Linked DNA regions of Sus scrofa. The protein of the gene in region 2 interacts with the protein of the main gene of each other region in a biochemical or structural test. Links are inferred from orthologs where the notes say so. Each region holds a gene or a part of one and is shown on either strand. Other genes may lie near its edges. The genes, in order: FGFR1OP and S100A6.

Region 1 (8,768 bases), on a different chromosome or scaffold from region 2:
CCACCCCATCCAGCTGCTGTGCTCTCACGCTCTCCAGCCAGCAGCTCACAGGGTCCACTGTGAGCTGGAGCAGCTGGCCAGGCACAAGCGGGGCACCGTGTTCACCCCACATACCCACTCACTGGGGGGGGTCCTCGAATGATAATGCTTGGTCTATCTAGAAAACCCTAAGATAAGACTCTTCTTTGGGGGATGGTTTCTGTAGTTAGAAAATCCTCGGGGGACCACAAACGAAGCAGCAACACACCCTCCCAAACATACACACCATGTAACCGCCACCATTCCCTCACCAACATAAAGCGAGGCTTTCCCAGACTCCGAGAATAGGAGCAAATTAAGAAATGTCATTTACTGGAGCTCCCTTCGTGCCTCAGCAGTTAATGAACCCAATCACGATCCATGAGAATGCGGGTTCGATCCCTGGCTTTGCTCAGTGGGTTAAGGATCCGGCATTGCCATGAGCTGTGGTGTAGGTCGCAGGTGCAGCCTGGATCCCTCGTGGCTGTGGCTGTGGCCTAGGCCGGCAGCTGTAGCGCCGATGTGACCCCTGGCCTGGGAATCTCCACATGCCAAGGGTGCGGCCCTAAGAAGCTGTCATTTATTAAGACGTCACTTGAAGTGGACTTCCTGCTGTGGCGCAGTGGGTTAAGAATCTGACTACAGCAGCTCAGGTTGCTGAGGTGCGGGTTGGATCCCGGGCCCAGCTCCGTGAGTTAAAGAATCCGATACTGCCACAACTGCAGCACAGGTCACAACCGTGGCTCAGAATGAACCACACTGAATTCAGCAATAAATAAAAGGGGCCAGACTCAGAGCCCGCACCCCAGAATCAGGCCTGTGCAGACTCTTCAGGGCACACGAGGCCCAGCCCACCGAGAGGCTGGGCCCCCAAGGCTGGCTCGGGCACAAAGAGTGAAAGGTGTTTTGTGGAACTTTTGTTCTACGCATCGACTTCTTCCAAACGTTCTAACTTCTTTAAAACTCACGACACTGACAAGATTTTAAAATGTTAATACTATGAAATATACTTTTTAAAAAGTCCAAGAAACTGGTTAAAAGTATTGATTAAAAAAACATGCCAGTTGATATTCTTAATTATTTTTAAGGTACGTCTCACCTCTCCAATTGGACCACAACCTGCTAAGTGAGGCCCCATGTTAAATGTGTCTTGCCCCCAGCACTTAACACGAAGCTTTCACTCTGTGACTGTCCCCCCACACTGGAATACCTCTTAAAACATCTTCTCATGTAGCAGTGCATACAGAATAGCATGAGCTAAGACCAGGAGTTTCCCATGAAACCACCAATCTACAGCCTACTAACTCAGCAAATAGGATTTTTCAAAACCCTTTAATTCTGGAGGTCCGCAACTTACTTGAAAAAATCTACACATAAGCCAAGGCTCAACAAGCACTGAATGCTGAAGAACTCGATCTTACTCCAAGGAAGCGTGAGAACTGTCTTGATGATTTCTAAGGCTTCTGAGAGCTCTGACGCTTCAGGGTCCTGAGCAGCTCATCTCCCGGCGCAGTCAGATTCTGCGATCTTCTGGGGAGGAAGGCACAGGCAGGCGGCGACCCTGCGGCCGGCTCCCCTCCAGCGCATCCCCTGAGCCCGCTGGGGGCCCGCGCGAGGCCAAGGCTCACAAACGCGCCCCGGCCGATGAGCTGCTGGACACAGAGTCTCCAGAAGGCAGCGGGGCCGCCCTTCGATTCACCTATCGGAACTCACCCCAGAGGCGTCTAACGTGCTGGCCCTCAGATCGAGGTCGTGATGTGAGAATACGGACGTTCAAGGGCAAACACAGCACTTTCAACTTTTTCTGCTGCTGCCACAAGCCGGGGAGTCCTCAGGGTAAGACCGAGTGCCTGGCTTTAACGCACCCGGGTAAGAACTGCAATCAAATCCCTGCTTCCTGCGTGTCTGCCTGACTCTGGCACATTCTGACCGTCGACACAAGACAGCGACCCTCCCCGAGAACAGCGCGCCTGGGCCCGGGCCCGGCGGCCGGGAGAGGCGGCGGCGGCGGCCCCGCGAGTTACCTTGGCGCCAGACTTCCGCCCGCTTGTCTTCTTCTTACCTTGTCCTTTATACCTTGGTATCTGAGCATGAGAATAAAATGACATTTTACCAAACACAGAAATCTTTACAAACAAACGAATGCATATCAAGCTAAGAAACAGTCCTCTCAGAGCGTCTTAGGAATGGGTTGTGGGTAAAGGCAGAGACCGCGGCCGCGCCCTCCAGCGCCCTCCAGCGGCCGCCGGAGGGCACCGCCCTGAGCTCCCAGCGGCTCCTTCAGGAAGGGCCCTGGCTTCAGCGTCCCTCCCTCGGGAGGGACACAGCGGGCTTCTAAGGGCTCCCCAGAACCCCGAGTGCTCTGCCGACTGATGAGGTGCCTACGCAAAGGCCTCGGAGAGAGGAGAAAGCTGGCAGGAAAAGGACGGGGCAGGTGCTGGAATGCCAACGCCAGACCCTGTGGGACCACAGGGGAATTGTTTTCATTGCCAGAAGCCCACCGTATCTTTTTCCTTTTTGTTTTAGCTGTGCCTGCGGCAGGCAGAAACTCTGGGGCCGGGAAGCGAACCCACACCACAGCAGTGACCCGAACCACAGCGGTGACACCACCAGATCCTTAACCCACTGATCCGCAAGGGAACTCCAAGAATGCCTTATCTTAAAACAGATTCCACCCCAGCCCGAGATGAGCCTTGCTGTCAGGAAGTGCCCACTGCGCCCGCAGGCCTGTGACGCTGGCTCAGAGCCCGGGCTGTGCTGAAAGCCACCGGAAGGGGGCCCGAGCCTTGGGCGCCTGGAGACAAATCCACCTGAAAAGTCCCCGTCCTTCCCCGTATTTACAGCAACATTTCCTGACTTAAAACTGAAGACTCTCATGGTAGAACTGAAACTTTTTTTATGTAAACAGAAGAGGAACACGTAAAACAAACATTAATATTTCACTGTGAAGATACACAATATGTGGAAAATTAGCACAGCTAGTTTGTTTTAAAAATAGTTTGCTAAGGGAGTCCCTGCCATGAATTCAGTGGAAAAGAACCCGACCAGTATCCATGAGGATGCGGGCTCGATCCCTGGCTTCGCTCAGTGGGTCAGGGATCTGGCGTTGCTCTGAGCTGTGGCGTAGGTCCCAGGTGTGGCTTGGATCCTACATGGCTGTGGCTGTGGTGTGGGCCGGCAGCTGTAGCTCCAATTAAACCCCTAGCCCCGGGACTTCCATGTGCCGAGGGTGCGGCCCTAAAGAGCAAAAATAGTAATTTGCTAATAAGAGAACTTCCAACTACCTAGTGCTACAGGCACGGCTAGGGCATTCCTGAATATGCAGTAACCCCAATCTCTCTAAAGCCAGGCATCCTCACAGCAGGCAAAGCTGACACCTGGTACTGACTCTGCAGGGCATCTCAGATTCACTCACAACCTCATTCTCTCTGCACAGCAGCTCCAGCCTCCAAGGAGCATCACAGGGCAAAATCCTTCACAGACAGACCAACCTTCTTAGGAAAGGCTGAGAAGATCTCAGGGAAAAGAAACAACTTCCAACAGCAGGATGGGCTCTTTCCCTGCCCAGAAATAAAGCACAGCACTCCTCTGGCTTCTCCATTTAAAACATGAAAAGGAGCAACCAAACAACCAGCAACCAACCACAGGAACCTGTCACTGGGCTCAGGCCCAGGCACCCGAACGCGAGGGGGCCCTAGCAGAACAGGCCCCACCTGGGTAAGGGACACGACACGCATCTGGGAGGACCCCAGTGGCGGGAGCCACTCTGGGGCGGACTCCCCAGCGCTGCTCGGGGCGAAGTCAGGGAGGCAGGCAACACAACCGGACCGAGGCCGCCCTTCCGCGCAGGCTGGTTCCGTCGCGGTGCGTCTCAACCAGGCGCAGGAGGGGACACCCTGCCTGACCGTCACCGTCCTACCCATTCCTGCAGGTAGAGCCTTGGTTTTCAACGCAAGTGTTCACTCAATTTTTAGGCCAAATCCCTGAAATCAGGCCTTAACTTTAACCACACACACACACACACACACACACACACACACACACAGAACCAGAGAACAGATTTTCTTATAAATACTCAAAAGAGCTCACTGTATAAAAAATCGTGCTAAATCTAGGCACCTGTCTACAACATTCAACACAACAATTCTCTGTCCTGGAGTCTGATACTCTCAGGTTATAGGAAGTTACAAGTGAAGAGTGAGTAGACTTGTTCATTGAAGGACAAAAAGTTCAAAGGACCAAATGAGTCCACATCTCCGCCGAGGCTGGTAACGGCCTATCTCCTTCCATGACACAAACTCAAAGCGCTAGCAACCGAGCAAAAGAAGCGATTCACCCGGACACGTCACCGAAGGAAGAGGAGCACTTCCCACAACACGACAGGTGACAACGCGGGAGAGAGCAAAGCCCGAGGCCTCGCGGCCGACTCACCTTGCTGTGAGGGGTGTGTGCACCTGCCTTCCCCTCTGGGGACTTCGGTGGAGAATGCACATCAGACAGGTGGAAAGCCCCCTGAAATGGTTACAGTTCAAATTAAAACACAGTTAAAAATAAAGCACGAACACACTAAACCCACCTCAAAAGAATGTGAGCATTTAAAACCACTACTTTATTTCCTCCTATAAATATTTTCATTAGATGTTCCTCAAATTTTAGCAAAACCACAAAGCAAACAGACGTCCGATGCTAAGTACCTGCTGAGTACGTCACTCCGCTCGGGCGCATCTGCCTGGGCCCCAGGTTCCTTTCCAGGACTAACCCGCTCCCTCCTCCCCCGACCCTCCACGCCAACGCCAACGCCAACGGGGCCTCTGCGTCTCAGAGAGCTCCTCTTCCCACCTCGCTGGCTGGACTCGCTCCCCACTTCGTTTTGTCTCCAAAAAAAAAAAAAAAAAAAAGCAACCAGCACCTCTCTCGTCACAGCAGCTACCTCTTCCAACCAAGCGGGCTGAGGGGCTCAACTCCAAGGGCTGCCAGGAGGGGTGGGGGACCAAGAGAAAACGCCCCTGCAGTCAGAGGCCAGAGAACACGGATGGTGACACTGCACAGCTGGACAGGGGACACAATGTCCCATTTCAGGTGGAGAAGAGATGACAAAAAGGAGAGGGAGTTCCCGATGTGGCACAACGGAAACGAATCCGACTAGTATCCACGGAGACGCAGGTTCAATCCCTGGCCTCACAGAGTGTGTTGGGGATCCGGCGTTGCTGTGGCTGTGCTGTAGGCTGGAGGCTGTAGCTTGGATTCGACCCCTAGCCTGGGAACTTCCATGTGCCTTGGGTGTAGCCCTAAAAAAAAAAAAGGAGAACGCAAGCAAGCAAAGGCCACTTTCAAGGGTAAGCTCATTCTGACACAGGAAGGCTCCACAATTCAAAGAGAGGCGAAGGCTAGAAAGAGAGGTTGGTGCCGTGTCGTGCAGAATCTTAAAGCTGAGGAACCTCCCTGCAATTTTAAAGAGAAGACGAGCAGACAAAGCGCTGACTTTAAAAATTAACTCAGCAATCGTGACGGCAGAGACTGAAAAGACGTGGGCGCAGCAACCTGGGTTTAAGGGGTTTACAAAGCGCTTCTGCTGAAAGCTTCCCTGCCTGACCTCAGTGGACGGATCCACAGCCAGTTTTCTTATCGAGCCGATGACACCTCTAATTTTTTATTTCACTATAAATCACATTTCTCCTCAAAGTGGTCAATGCTAACAAATAACAGAAGGGCCAAACTGGACACCTGCGAACCCTCTATTTTAAACATGAACCTACTTGTTCATGTGTGTGTACATATAAGACACCCAGATATCACGAGAGGAAAACCAGCCAGGCGTAAGGTGACACGGCCAGCGTAACGGTTTGGCATCCTTAGGGACGCTGGGACGGAGAGGAGGACCCACGGCCTCCACGCCCGCGTCCTCCAGGCCCTGCTGGTGCCTCCCCCACTCACATTCAGATGGAGCTCACACAACGGCAACCCGGAACCAACCACTGCCCCTTTCAGCTGAAAGCTACGTCTCATCAACGGTGTGGGACTAATCCTGCATCACGCACTATTTCCTCTGCAGTGGTCACCCACCATTCAGAGGTCCGTGTCCCCGCGTGAGCAGGTCATGAAGAGCGCGCAGCTCTCCCAGGACACCTGACCTGCTCCCGTCTTCCCACCGCAAGAATCACCTTGGTCTGCCTTAGATGCCACAGGCACTTGCTCACGCTTTAATGATTTTCAAAGATGCGGACAGAACATGCACCCGGACAGGAGAGTCCAAGCAGAGACGGCAGCCCGTCACGTGCCACCTTCCCACCTGTCAACCTGTCTAAAAGCACACAGGTAACCAGGGCTCTGGGAGAGTCGTGATGCTGCTACATCTGTCAAACAGTATCTTTAATGTAAAGCTAATCTTTGTACATAAAAATCAGACCACTCATCTCGTTAGCAAAACTTCCAAACAGAAGGGATGAGAATAAGACAGACAAAGGCTAATCAAAAAACCAACGTATGGAGTTCCTGTCGTGGCTCAGCAGTAACGAACCGGACTAGCATCCATGAGGATGCAGGTTTGATCCCTGGCCTCACTCGGTGGGTACAGGATCCAGCACTGCTGTGAGAAGCAGTGTACACTGCAGAAACGGCTCAGATCTGGCATGAATGTGGCTGTGGTGCAGGTCGGCAGTTGTAGTTCTGATTCGACCCCTAGCCTGGGAACTTCCACACACTGTGGTTGCAGCCCTGAAAACAAAAATTCAAGTATGAAAATGTTTAGAATCTATGCAAAATCAACAGCTTATAGTTTTAAGCCTAGTTTTTAAAAAGTTTTTAAATTCAAAAAATTGTTAACGAGTCTGTAATTCAGGCCTTTTAGGCTTAAAAATAGAAATAAAAATAAAGACCAACAACTGAGTGTTCCCAGCATTTCACAAGCACTGACTCAGGTGTGTAAGCCTCACGACACCCACGGGAAGCCACCACCCCCGCTCTACAGGAGGACCTGGGACGGGCAGCATGGAGGCCAAGGCCAAGGCTGGCTAGTGGAGGAGCTGGGGCTGGTTCCTCGCAGCCCAGCCTCTGACCCCCACACTCTGAGGGTCAGTCCCCAGAACAGGTGCAGCAGCCAACTCAGGGCTACCACATCTCCAATTTTCATCAAAATGTGTATTTATACAATCTCTGGGTATGTTCTGTTCTGTCTTTAAGGAACAGCCTCTCCTTATTTAAACCAGCTCGAACGTGCACACTGACCTGCACGGCCACCCTAGAGAGGCAACGACTGAGGAGCAGAGAGGTAGCAAAGGGCTGAACTTACCTCCCCGCTGCTTGGCCCTTTTTCTTTCTGCTGACAGCGTCTGATCACCTCTAACAACAAGGGTCCACCCACAGTACCTTCTGCTTCAATAATACCTAAATCCCGGGCTATGTTCTCTCGACCTTCCAGACCCTGAAACTGTGAAAGAGGTAAGATGGGAGAGGGTCAGTGCACAAAATACAGCAACATTATTTTCACAGATCAAAGAAAAATCTCTCCCGAACTTAAAGACATCTCTAAACCCAAAGAGGCCCGCATTCCCGGCAAGGAAACGTCTATCTTTAAAAAGTGCATGTTTTCTCGACGAGTCCCTGCATTCAAAGTCTGCAGCGCAAGTCGACTAACGTCAGAACAGGTGAACGCGACGACGACACCTGTGTCAAGCCCCCTGAAGCAGGGACACTGGTGCCAGCTGTCGGACAGCACAGGCAGGTTTTGAGAAACAGATAATCGACTGTAAAAATAATCTTTATGAAAGACACTCTAAGTTATCAAATTTTGTCACTGTTCCGCTTACAATGGACTCATCTGCATCAAAGACGGTTTCAAAGAGAGATGGAAAAGGCATCATTCTTACCGTGCTGGTTTCAGGTTGAAAAACAGCCAAGGTAAAGTCAAGGTTAAAAAACTGAAGAAATTCCGCCACGAGACTAGCCACCAGCCGGCCTGCAAAGAGGAGAAGGGAGGTGGGAGGGGGTCTTGAGGCCCCGAGGCCTCCTCGCTGACAGTGGGACGGAAAATAACCAAAGCAAAAGGAGAAGAGAAGCTTCTCAACGCTTAAAATCACACATTTCTTCTCTTTGAATAATACAATTAAGTAATGAAAATTTCAGTCTCCTGATTCTCTCATTAGGATCATCAGTCTGGAAGTGTTAGTACGACAATCTGACATTTCCTAAATGAACTAGGGTTTCGCTCTTTATAATAACATCAGTTTCACAGTAAAATTGGCTTTAACCAACAATTTCCAGTAACACTGATACGCAATGGCGACTCAACAGTTGTACAATAAAATACGACTTAATATAAGAACCTGAAAGCATCGCAGACTTCGAAAGGCAATCTGGAATGCCTGATTTCTCCCAAATGGAGGCAAGATTTGAAAATTCAGAGACAGACAAAAATAACAACAAACATCTTACCGTCTTTTGTATTTAAAAACTTTTTCAGGCTCTCATTGACTAAAGGAGTTTTGTTCTGTTAAAAAAAATGAAACGCTGTAAGCGTTATATGTTTATCCTAAAAACCACTATAAAATGTACATTAAAGTTTAATTTTCTGGTGAAGATATTAGGTAAAACACTACCCCTATGGTTAAACCCACCCTGCAACTACTGATTACGACAGGAACTATTTTGTGCTGAGGCCTGAGGCAGGACAGGATGAAGATACACTCCATCAGGCGCGTCTTCCCGGCAGCAGCAAAAGACACCACTGAGGCATAGGAGTCACAGAGTCAGTG
Region 2 (8,533 bases):
TGAAGGGTGGCACCCGCGGCATATGGAGGTTCCCAAGCTAGGGGTCCAATCAGAGCTGTAGCTGCTGGCCTACACCACAGCCACAGCAACGCCAGATCTGAGCCGTGTCTGCGATCCACACCACAGTTCACAGGAATGCTGGATCCTTAACCCACTGATCGAAGCCAGGGATCAAACCCAAGTCCTCATGGATACTCGTCTGGTTCTTAACCCACTGAACCACAACGGGAACTCCCTCACTGATTATTTCTATAAATCATCTTGTATACCTTCCATATGTGATTAAAACACTTAAGAGAAAAACATGAAGAAGAAATGGCCGAAATATGTCCTGATGAGCTAAGCATTAGTGAATGGGTGACGGGATGGCAAGGGCCCAGTTCTTCACTGGGATTTGCCCAGGGGTAGAGGCACTTACTTCACTGTAACCTGGTCTTTTCACTTGTTAAATGGGGTTAATAATACACACTACACATAAAACTTCCAAGCATCACAAAAGACAATGGATAGGAAAGTGCCTTGTAAAAATACAAGTGCCATGCCGTGTACAGTGGCACTATTCTTGACAACATCAGATATGCTTGGCAGAGAACAAAGAGCTACATGCTCTGACTCAGTCCTAAAACCCTCCAACTGGGGCCCAACCCAGCTTACAGAGATGGGCAGCGGTGCTGCTGTTTCAGCTTCCTGGGAGTCAGGGTGACTAGGTTACAGGATTAAAGCCTATTTATGCTCAGCTAGGGAAGAGGAGAAAGCGGAGCCAGTTCCACAAGCGAGTGAATCAGTGCTCCTGGATCAGCAGCGGCAAAGGCACTGGGTGTAAAGCCCCCTGACTGGCTCCCTCCCCTCTAAGCCCAGACCCCTGTTCCACAGACTGAGCTAAAGGCTTCATCTCCAACGTTATATCAGTTGGAGGCAAACGCAATTAAAAAATGACCAGTCTGCGCCCCTCACCACACCCAGTTCCACCCTGTGAGGCCAGCAACCCACCAGATGCCATTGTAAATGCTGCTTCCTCCCATTGCCACCCCCCCCACCAAACATACCCTCAAAGCAAACTAAAGATTAACTATACATTTCAGTGTTTATTTTATTTTTTAAATCCGTGTTCCTGTTGCCCTCCACTGGAAAGTCAGACACTTTATAAAGGACACGCCTGTTTGCTCAGCAGGTGGACTGTGCCCTGTGCAGGTTTATTGATTCTCTTCCATCCCTGGGCCAGGCCACCCACCCGAGCTCCCAGCAAATGCAGGAGCAGCCCCCACCCCGGGAGTGGGTCTTCACCCCTTGAAAGGAGCCCTCCTTCATCTGCAGGAATGTCCTCTCTGCCAAAAGCAAGTGGGGCAGGGGAGCAGCACGATTCAGATTCTGTTTGTCTTTGCAAACTGCCTTCCTCTTACTGACTTGTTCCTGGTAGGTGTGTCTTAGGTGAAATTGAGTTGCTTTATTTGGGGGTTAGTTGCTGGGAGCTGACATACCCTGAGCGTCCAAGTGGCGTTTCCCTCTTGGTTGGAAAGTCTCCACCAACCTTGGCCTCTACACCGTTGGCCCATCCCTGGGGTTTGGAGAAAACCAACCCGCTCCCCGCGGCGTCCTGCTATCTGCCCACACGAGGGCGCTCGGTCCAAGCCCCAAGATGCTGGCCGCTGAGAAGTTACCTTTCCAGAGGAGATTGCATGGAGCTAAGGCTTGGACATGACTGTGCAGACAGGGAGCTCAGATCCTGGGTCCCTTCCTGGTTCACAACTGTGCCAGTCCCTACTCCCTGCGGGGAAGGAGTGGCCACTAGAGAAGGAGGGACACCAAAGGTGAGGTTTCCAGCCCTCTTGGGACTGTTTGCTCATCCCCACCTCATGGAGGAAGAAGATTTAATTCCGCAAATCTGGGCCCGCTGGGAAGTGGAGAGGTGAAAAAGAGGGACAGGAAGAAACGGTCTCTGTCTGAGGCCCCCAGAACCTACAGAGGAAATTGCCTGGCACAGACTAGGTCTGCATGGGAGAGCATTGCCACAACTGCCCCATCGCCCTGAAACCCTCTTGCCCCGATCCCCCTCCCTCCCCACCATCCCCTCCTCCCCCGCCACCCCCTTCTTCCCCCCACCGCCTGAAAACACTAATGCAAACAATGAACTCAGATAATTTCAATTCATCATCTACCAGTGGCTCCATGGAATAACTGGGGTGATCCATTCTGCTAAGGCGCTAGGAATGGGCTGGCTCAATATTGACAGAAAGGCTGGGCTGTGGCTGCCCAGTCCCGGGGACCCCCATCCCACCCCTTTCATGAGCATCTCATGATTCATGTATCCACACAGCTGCCAGCTTCTCAGACCACAACTCTGAGAACAAAGGGCCCTAAGGTGTGCCTCCCACCTTCAACCGGGGCAGGGGCAGCAGAATTGACCTTGACCGTACAGCATCCACAGCAGTCCCCAGCCAGGCTGTGAGCATGCCAGATGTGCCTTCTCTGCCCCCACTTCCCTGTAGTGAGAGAGTGGACCAGCCCCGCCCCACAGCCCTGCTGGACCTTCCCCTTTGACCACACCCAGAGCAAAAACTTGTCTTTGTCGTCTGCAAGGACCCAGCTAGGACTATCTCTGTTCCACTCTGGACTCATCACAGCCTGGCTTAAGCACCATTTCCTTCTCCAAGCCCACCCCAGAACGCCCTGTGCTGGGGACCGCTTGAGCCTTTCCTTAAGATGGCTTTGCCCAGAGCTTACATCTTTTCTGATTCACATAAAAGCAGTTTAGGAGCTGTAACTGCCTTGTTAGGGCGCATCCATCATCTTGTGGACCCTCCCACCAGCTCCCCTGACCTGGTGAGTCACTGAGTCACTCCCAGAGGGGACTGCGAGAAAACCCTCTGATGGCTGATGCAGCGGCAAGCAGAGGAGGAAACAAATCACAGGGAAGCCAGGACACAGGGGTAGATTTAACAACAAAAAAAATTTATTGTACAGTTACCCACCACTAGATCAACAGGCCAGCTAAAGGGTGTCTCCACCGTCTCAATTTATGTTCAGCCCCGGAGGACATCGTTGTAGATCATAGCCAAGGCCCCCAGGAAGGTGACATATTCTTGGAAGTTCACCACCTGGTCCTTGTTCCGGTCCAGGTCATCCATCAGCTTTGCGATTTCAGCATCCTGCAGCTTCTACCGGGTCAAAATGGGAAATCCAGGACTCAGGGGTGATGAGACCTTGGGTTCTCTGCCTTTCCCCCTCCCAGGCAGCCCTCTCTCAGACAAGTGGCTCTGTGCTCACTTGTCACCAAAACTCTGAGCCCACCTTGAATTCACTTGGCTTGACTTCTCTGCTGCTGACTCAGGAGGAGTGAATACCAGGCTGGGAATATCCCCAGCCCCTCAGGGCCCAGGGGTGTGGACCAATGGTCCGGTAAGGTCTAGGTCCCCGGAATGTGAGTAAGTGTGAGTCACAGGCACCTGGCGCCTGGCCTTCTCCCAATCCTGCTTCTAAGGGGGGGGGGGGCAGGGGAGACTCACTCACCGCCCCAATGGTGAGTTCCTTCTGGATCAGCTCCTTCAGCTCACTCTTGCTCAGGGTGTTTTTGTCACCCTCCCGGCCGGAGTACTTGTGGAAGATGGCCACCAGGAGGCCAATAGCCTGATCCAGAGGGCATGCCATGGCTGAAGGCTGAGTTCAAGGCTGGGGGCAGAGGGGCTGGTCAGTGTCCTGGGCCACACGGAGGTCTCACTCCTCTCACTCACCGCAAGCCCCAAGACCTCTGCCCCCCACCCACCCACCCCCATCCCCACCACCACCCACCCCCGACCCCAACTCCCTTTGACGACCCTGCCCGGACCACCAAGTAAGTGTCAGGTGACCTCAGGAGACAGCTCGAGGCTTGAAGGGGAGGAAGAGGGCAGACTCTAGAGCCTAGAGATCTGTGGCCTCCAGGGAACCAGAGACGAGGTGGCTCAAGGATTCTAAGCAGCAGACAGGAACACAGCTGAGAACGCTCCTCCAGGGGTTGCGGGAAAGTTGGGGCGGATGTTGCGGGGCGGGGGTGGAGACGGCGCACCCAGCCCTACACACAGCCTTCCAGGGCCACACACGGCGGCGCTGACACGCCCGCCCGGGACACACCCTCCCGCACCCCAGATGGGCCACTACCCGGAGCCGCCCAACGGACGCCTTAGCCCTGGGCCAGCCTGGCTTCTCCTGCCTCTCCCCGCCCGCCCGGCAGCCCCGCAGCCCCAGGCTGGATGCCGAGCCATCCACCGCCCGCGGACCAAGCCCGGGGCGGGCTGGCTCAGAAGGACCGGGGCTGCCCTGGCCAGGACTCACCACGGCGGCAGCGACGGGAGCAGGGAGCGGCCGAGGGGATGCTGGGCTCTGGGGCCGGCCCGCCCGCCTTATAGAGGCGCGTCCGGGAGGCCGGCTCCCCACCGCCCACGGCCCGCCCCGCGCCCCACCCTGTGCTCGCCGTTACACAACACCAGGGCCCCAAAACTTTCCACGCCTCCTGCCCCGGGGCAGTTCAGGGCTCCGCGGGGTGGGGGGGACCTCGAGGGGGAGGGGGTCCCACCTGCAGCCAGCCGAGTGACCTCGAGCTCCTTCCTAACCCCTGAAACCCAGTTTGCAGCCACCCACCCCCCAGCATCGTGATGTGACAGGCCAGGGCAGGACGCTGTCACTGACGCTGGGGGGGCTGCCGGAAGTGGGTGGAGAAGGGAGAGAAGGGTGCCCCCTTCCCAGGGCGAAACCTAGATGAAGGGTGGGGAGCGGCCGGTGGTCTACAGAATACAGTTTCAAGGACTTCTCCAACACCCATCCGCCAGCGGAAAACGAATTCCTACCACCATCCTGCTCCCTTCCCCAACCCCCTCCCCCACCCCGAATTCCAGAATTGCACACCGGAGCCTCCTGCAGCTTCAGGGGCACACATGCCAGAGCCAAGCCCTGTGTCCCTAGTTATTTACCCTGCAATGCAAAGTTTCTCAGATCCTCAGTGTTTTTTGGTTTTGGGTTTTGTTTTGTTTTGTTTGCTTTTTAGGGCCTCGGGTAGCTGCTGGCCTCTGCCACAGGCACAGCAACGCCAGATCCGAGCAGGGTCTCGACCCACACTACAGCTCATGGCAACACCAGATCCTTGACCCACTGGGGTGAGGCCAGGGAATCGAACCTGCAACCTCATGGTTCCTAGTTAGATTCAATTCCGCTGCAGCACAAGGGGGAACTCCTCTCAGATCCTCTCTGGAGAAAGGCTTTTGATATGGGGAGGTGGGAAAGGCAGAAAGCCTAGAGGTGATTGAGGTGGCATGCGGGGTAGCAGGGCTTGTTGCAGAGAGGGAAACGGAGGAGAGGGAAAGGGGACTGGCCTGGAGGTCAAGGCCACACTCCCCTTTCTTACCAGCGTCCTCAGGGTGGCCTCCTGTGAGCTGGTGACAAGTCAGACTGGCCTGTCCACCACTGCCCCCAGGAACCACATCCCGGCTGCCTCCAGTGTCCTCACCCTCTAAGCACTTTCTCCTTAACTTTCTCTGCATAGCCGAAGCACACCTCGGAAGCCATCAAAAGCCTGGCCCAACTTCCCCATTTTCCAGGAGGGCCATGCTAAGCCCAGACACACTTAGTCACATCCACACCAAAGGACAGGAAGTGGAGAGGGAGCCCAGAACCCTAGCCCCCAGAAGCTCTCCACTCACTGAAGGGGAATCGCTGCCCTGCCCACCGCACCCCCAGCCAAGATGGACAAGACATCTTCCAAACCAGCCACGGACCCCTGGAAAGGAAAATCTTTATTTCCTCTGCGGGAATGGAAGGCTAAAGCAGCATCCTTCTGGAAGGGTGTGTGATAGGAGCTGCAGAGGCCAGGGCCTGGGCCCCGTCACTGGTTGTCCTCCAGGAAGAAGTCGTTGTAGGCCATGCAGAGCGTGGTCAGGAACACCGAGTACTCCTTGAAGTCGATCTCCTGGTCGCTGTTCTTATCCAAACTCTTCATCAGGTCGTCCACACTGCTCTCCTTCATCTTCTTCCAGGGCCCAGGTAGAGACACAGGTCAGCCCTGCCCCCTCCCAGCCTCAGGCTGAGCCCCAGCGGAGTCAGCTTCTGGGCCCTCAGAATCCCCCCGCCCCCAGGCCACACCCAGCCCAGGACCCAGCACCACGCAGGCGCTCAGTGAGCTGACCCCTGAGCCTGGAAAAATTACCAGAGGGAGTCTAGGGCAGCCCCGCTTCCCCTCCACACTTTCTACCGCCCGAAGAAATAATAAGCTAGATATCATGCAACACCTCATAGAAGCGGCTTGGTGACTATGCGGCGCTGAGCAAGATCCAGGTCTTAGTCTGTCCCTCTTGGGGATCTTGAGCATCGACCCAGACAGCACATGCCACCAGGAGCGGTGCGTTCGTGCCGAGAAGCCAGCGCATCCGTTCCCTGCTAGGAGAGCCTGCAGGACAGCCGTAGGGAACCAGTGCCTGGCACCCAGTCTTACTCTCTGGTCCCTGCCCTCCTCGCCCAGCTCCACCAAGAGCACGGTGACAGCCCCCCCACCCCAGGGGGCAGCAGGTGGGAGACAGGAAGAAAATACAGAACATCCTGCCCTCTCCTCTTCACTGCCCCCAGCTCCAGCTTTGCCACAGGAGACAGGACGTGGGGACTTACGAAGATGGAAACAACCTCTCTGTGACGCCATTCTTGTCCCCAGTCTGGGTTCCTGTTCTAGCCATACCCTCCCCAGGGCCTCTGTCCCCCTGTAATTAACCCTGCTGGACCCACGGCCCCTCCCTCAGCCCTCATTCACTCCAGGATGCAGAGAGCTTGGCAGGAAGGCCAGAGGGGCAGCCGGTGACACCCACACCTACTTCAGTCCCCCGTCCACAGGGACAAAACCTGGTGGAGCTTCTCTCCGAGGAGGCCCACTAGGGTTCAGAATGTGACAGCAGAGGCCTCCCAGGCTGTTTTTAAAGATACACGGGCCTGGCCTGGAATTGCAGCCTCTCGCCAACTGGGTATCCTCAGACAAGTTATATAATGTCTCTGAGCTTGGATTTTTTTTGTTTTAACTGAAATAATAATACGATGACTATCTCATAGACCTTCCCCTCCATCAGTTGCCTCCCTCCCACCATCTCCATCTGGTTAGAATCAGTTCTGTCTCCCTCCAGCCTGTGTTGGAACTAGCCGAATGATCCTTTTGGTTCCTGCGTCAGCACCATCAAAGCCCTGGGGTGGGGGGGTGTCGGGTGGGAGCCCTGCCCTTGAGCTGTGCACAGCTGATCTGGACCCCTGAACCCCCTCGTCCCCCCACCCCATCCTTCACACAGGCTCCACTTGCATCTCTGAGAGCCCAGCCTCAGCAAGGAAGTTTCCTTCATCTTTGCCGGTTTTATAGGGGAGGCTGGCCATGCCCAAGGCGTGTGGCAGTTCCTGGGCCAGGGATCGAACCTGTACCACATCAGTGACCCAAGCCACTGCAGTGACAACACCAGATCCCTAACCCGCTGAGCCACTACCGAACTTCAAAGGTCTTGAGCTTCTCTAAAGCCTCACGCGGGCTGAGGGCCACCATCCAGATGCTGCCCTTCTCCCCAGTGGAACACGACTCATCTCAGCACAGAGGTCTAGAGCTGTGTTGGCCCAAGAAGTCCATGCTCTCCGTTGGGTCTCTGTCCGTACCCATTAGCCATCCTGTCCTTCCCAAGGTTGGCATACCCTGCGGGCAGATGCGTGTCCTCTCTTGCCACCCCACCCACCTCATGCCCGGAAGGCCCTGGTATTGGTGCTTCCTGTTTTCTCCCTCCTCTCCCCTCCCCCACGGTGCCCACCGGGAGCACTTGGACTCAGGGATACAGGAGAGGGGACTGTCACCCACCTACCTCACCAAGACACAGCTCCTTCTTGATCAGCTCCTTCAGCTCCCTCCTACTCAGAGTCAGCTTGCTGCCCTCTCTCCCCGAGTATTTATGGAAAGTGGTGACCATCGTGGTCAGAGCCTTCTCGAGTGGGGTCTCCATCACCGGGTGCAGTCCTGGAGGCCGAAGGGAGAGGAGAAGATCACCCCACCCGGGAAGCCAGACCTCCTGCTTCCCTCCGCCGCTAGCCCACCTCCAAGCCTCTCCCTCGAGGACCAGCAGCTAGAACCCGTGATGAGACTGAAATCTACCCAGCAGACCCTGGTGTATGCGGACAGGTGGTAACAAGACCCAAGGCAAACTTGGAACAGCCAGAGCAGGGAGAGCGGCAGCACCCAAGGGAGACGGCTCACTCTCCTGCGTAGGAGACATGGGAAAGGGGGTCTCGGGGCAGAGGCGTGACAAAATGGCCAAGCCAAAGGAAGACCTGGGGGCAGATGGCAGAGCAAATGAGGGGTCGGGATTTTCTCCCTGCCCCCTCCAGCTCAGGCCCTCATTTTCCAGGCAGTTGTCACCCTGGTCACCCTTCTTGGCCCAGGTGCCTGAATCAGCTGGTATCAGGGAGTATGCCACTATGGAGGAGGGAATCAGGGCAAAGAGCCCAGGGGTTGGAGGAGGCTGGGGCTGCAACTGGAAGATAAGATCTCAACAGGAAA

Evidence for each region.
Region 1: the proteins of S100A6 (region 2) and FGFR1OP form a complex in vitro, tested with the Homo sapiens proteins (2 studies listed by BioGRID and IntAct, with this or other methods). The link is inferred for Sus scrofa from reciprocal best matches to the Homo sapiens genes S100A6 and CEP43.

The regions. Positions count from the first base shown.
Region 1 is NC_010443.5:2,109,085-2,117,852, forward strand, and holds part of FGFR1OP (FGFR1 oncogene partner), read right to left. Parts: intron 8,504-8,768; coding exon 8,449-8,503; intron 7,973-8,448; coding exon 7,884-7,972; intron 7,445-7,883; coding exon 7,307-7,444; intron 4,531-7,306; coding exon 4,450-4,530; intron 2,103-4,449; coding exon 2,043-2,102; intron 1-2,042. UniProt on the Homo sapiens protein: Required for anchoring microtubules to the centrosomes. Required for ciliation.
Region 2 is NC_010446.5:96,094,082-96,102,614, reverse strand, and holds S100A6 (protein S100-A6), read right to left. Parts: upstream 4,345-8,533; 5' UTR 4,309-4,344; intron 3,948-4,308; 5' UTR 3,846-3,947; exon of another isoform or gene 3,824-3,845; intron 3,667-3,823; 5' UTR 3,646-3,666; coding exon 3,508-3,645; intron 3,156-3,507; coding exon 3,021-3,155; 3' UTR 2,929-3,020; downstream 1-2,928. Other genes in the region: S100A5 (protein S100-A5), read right to left, coding at 5,852-5,995, 7,842-7,979. UniProt on the Homo sapiens protein: May function as calcium sensor and modulator, contributing to cellular calcium signaling.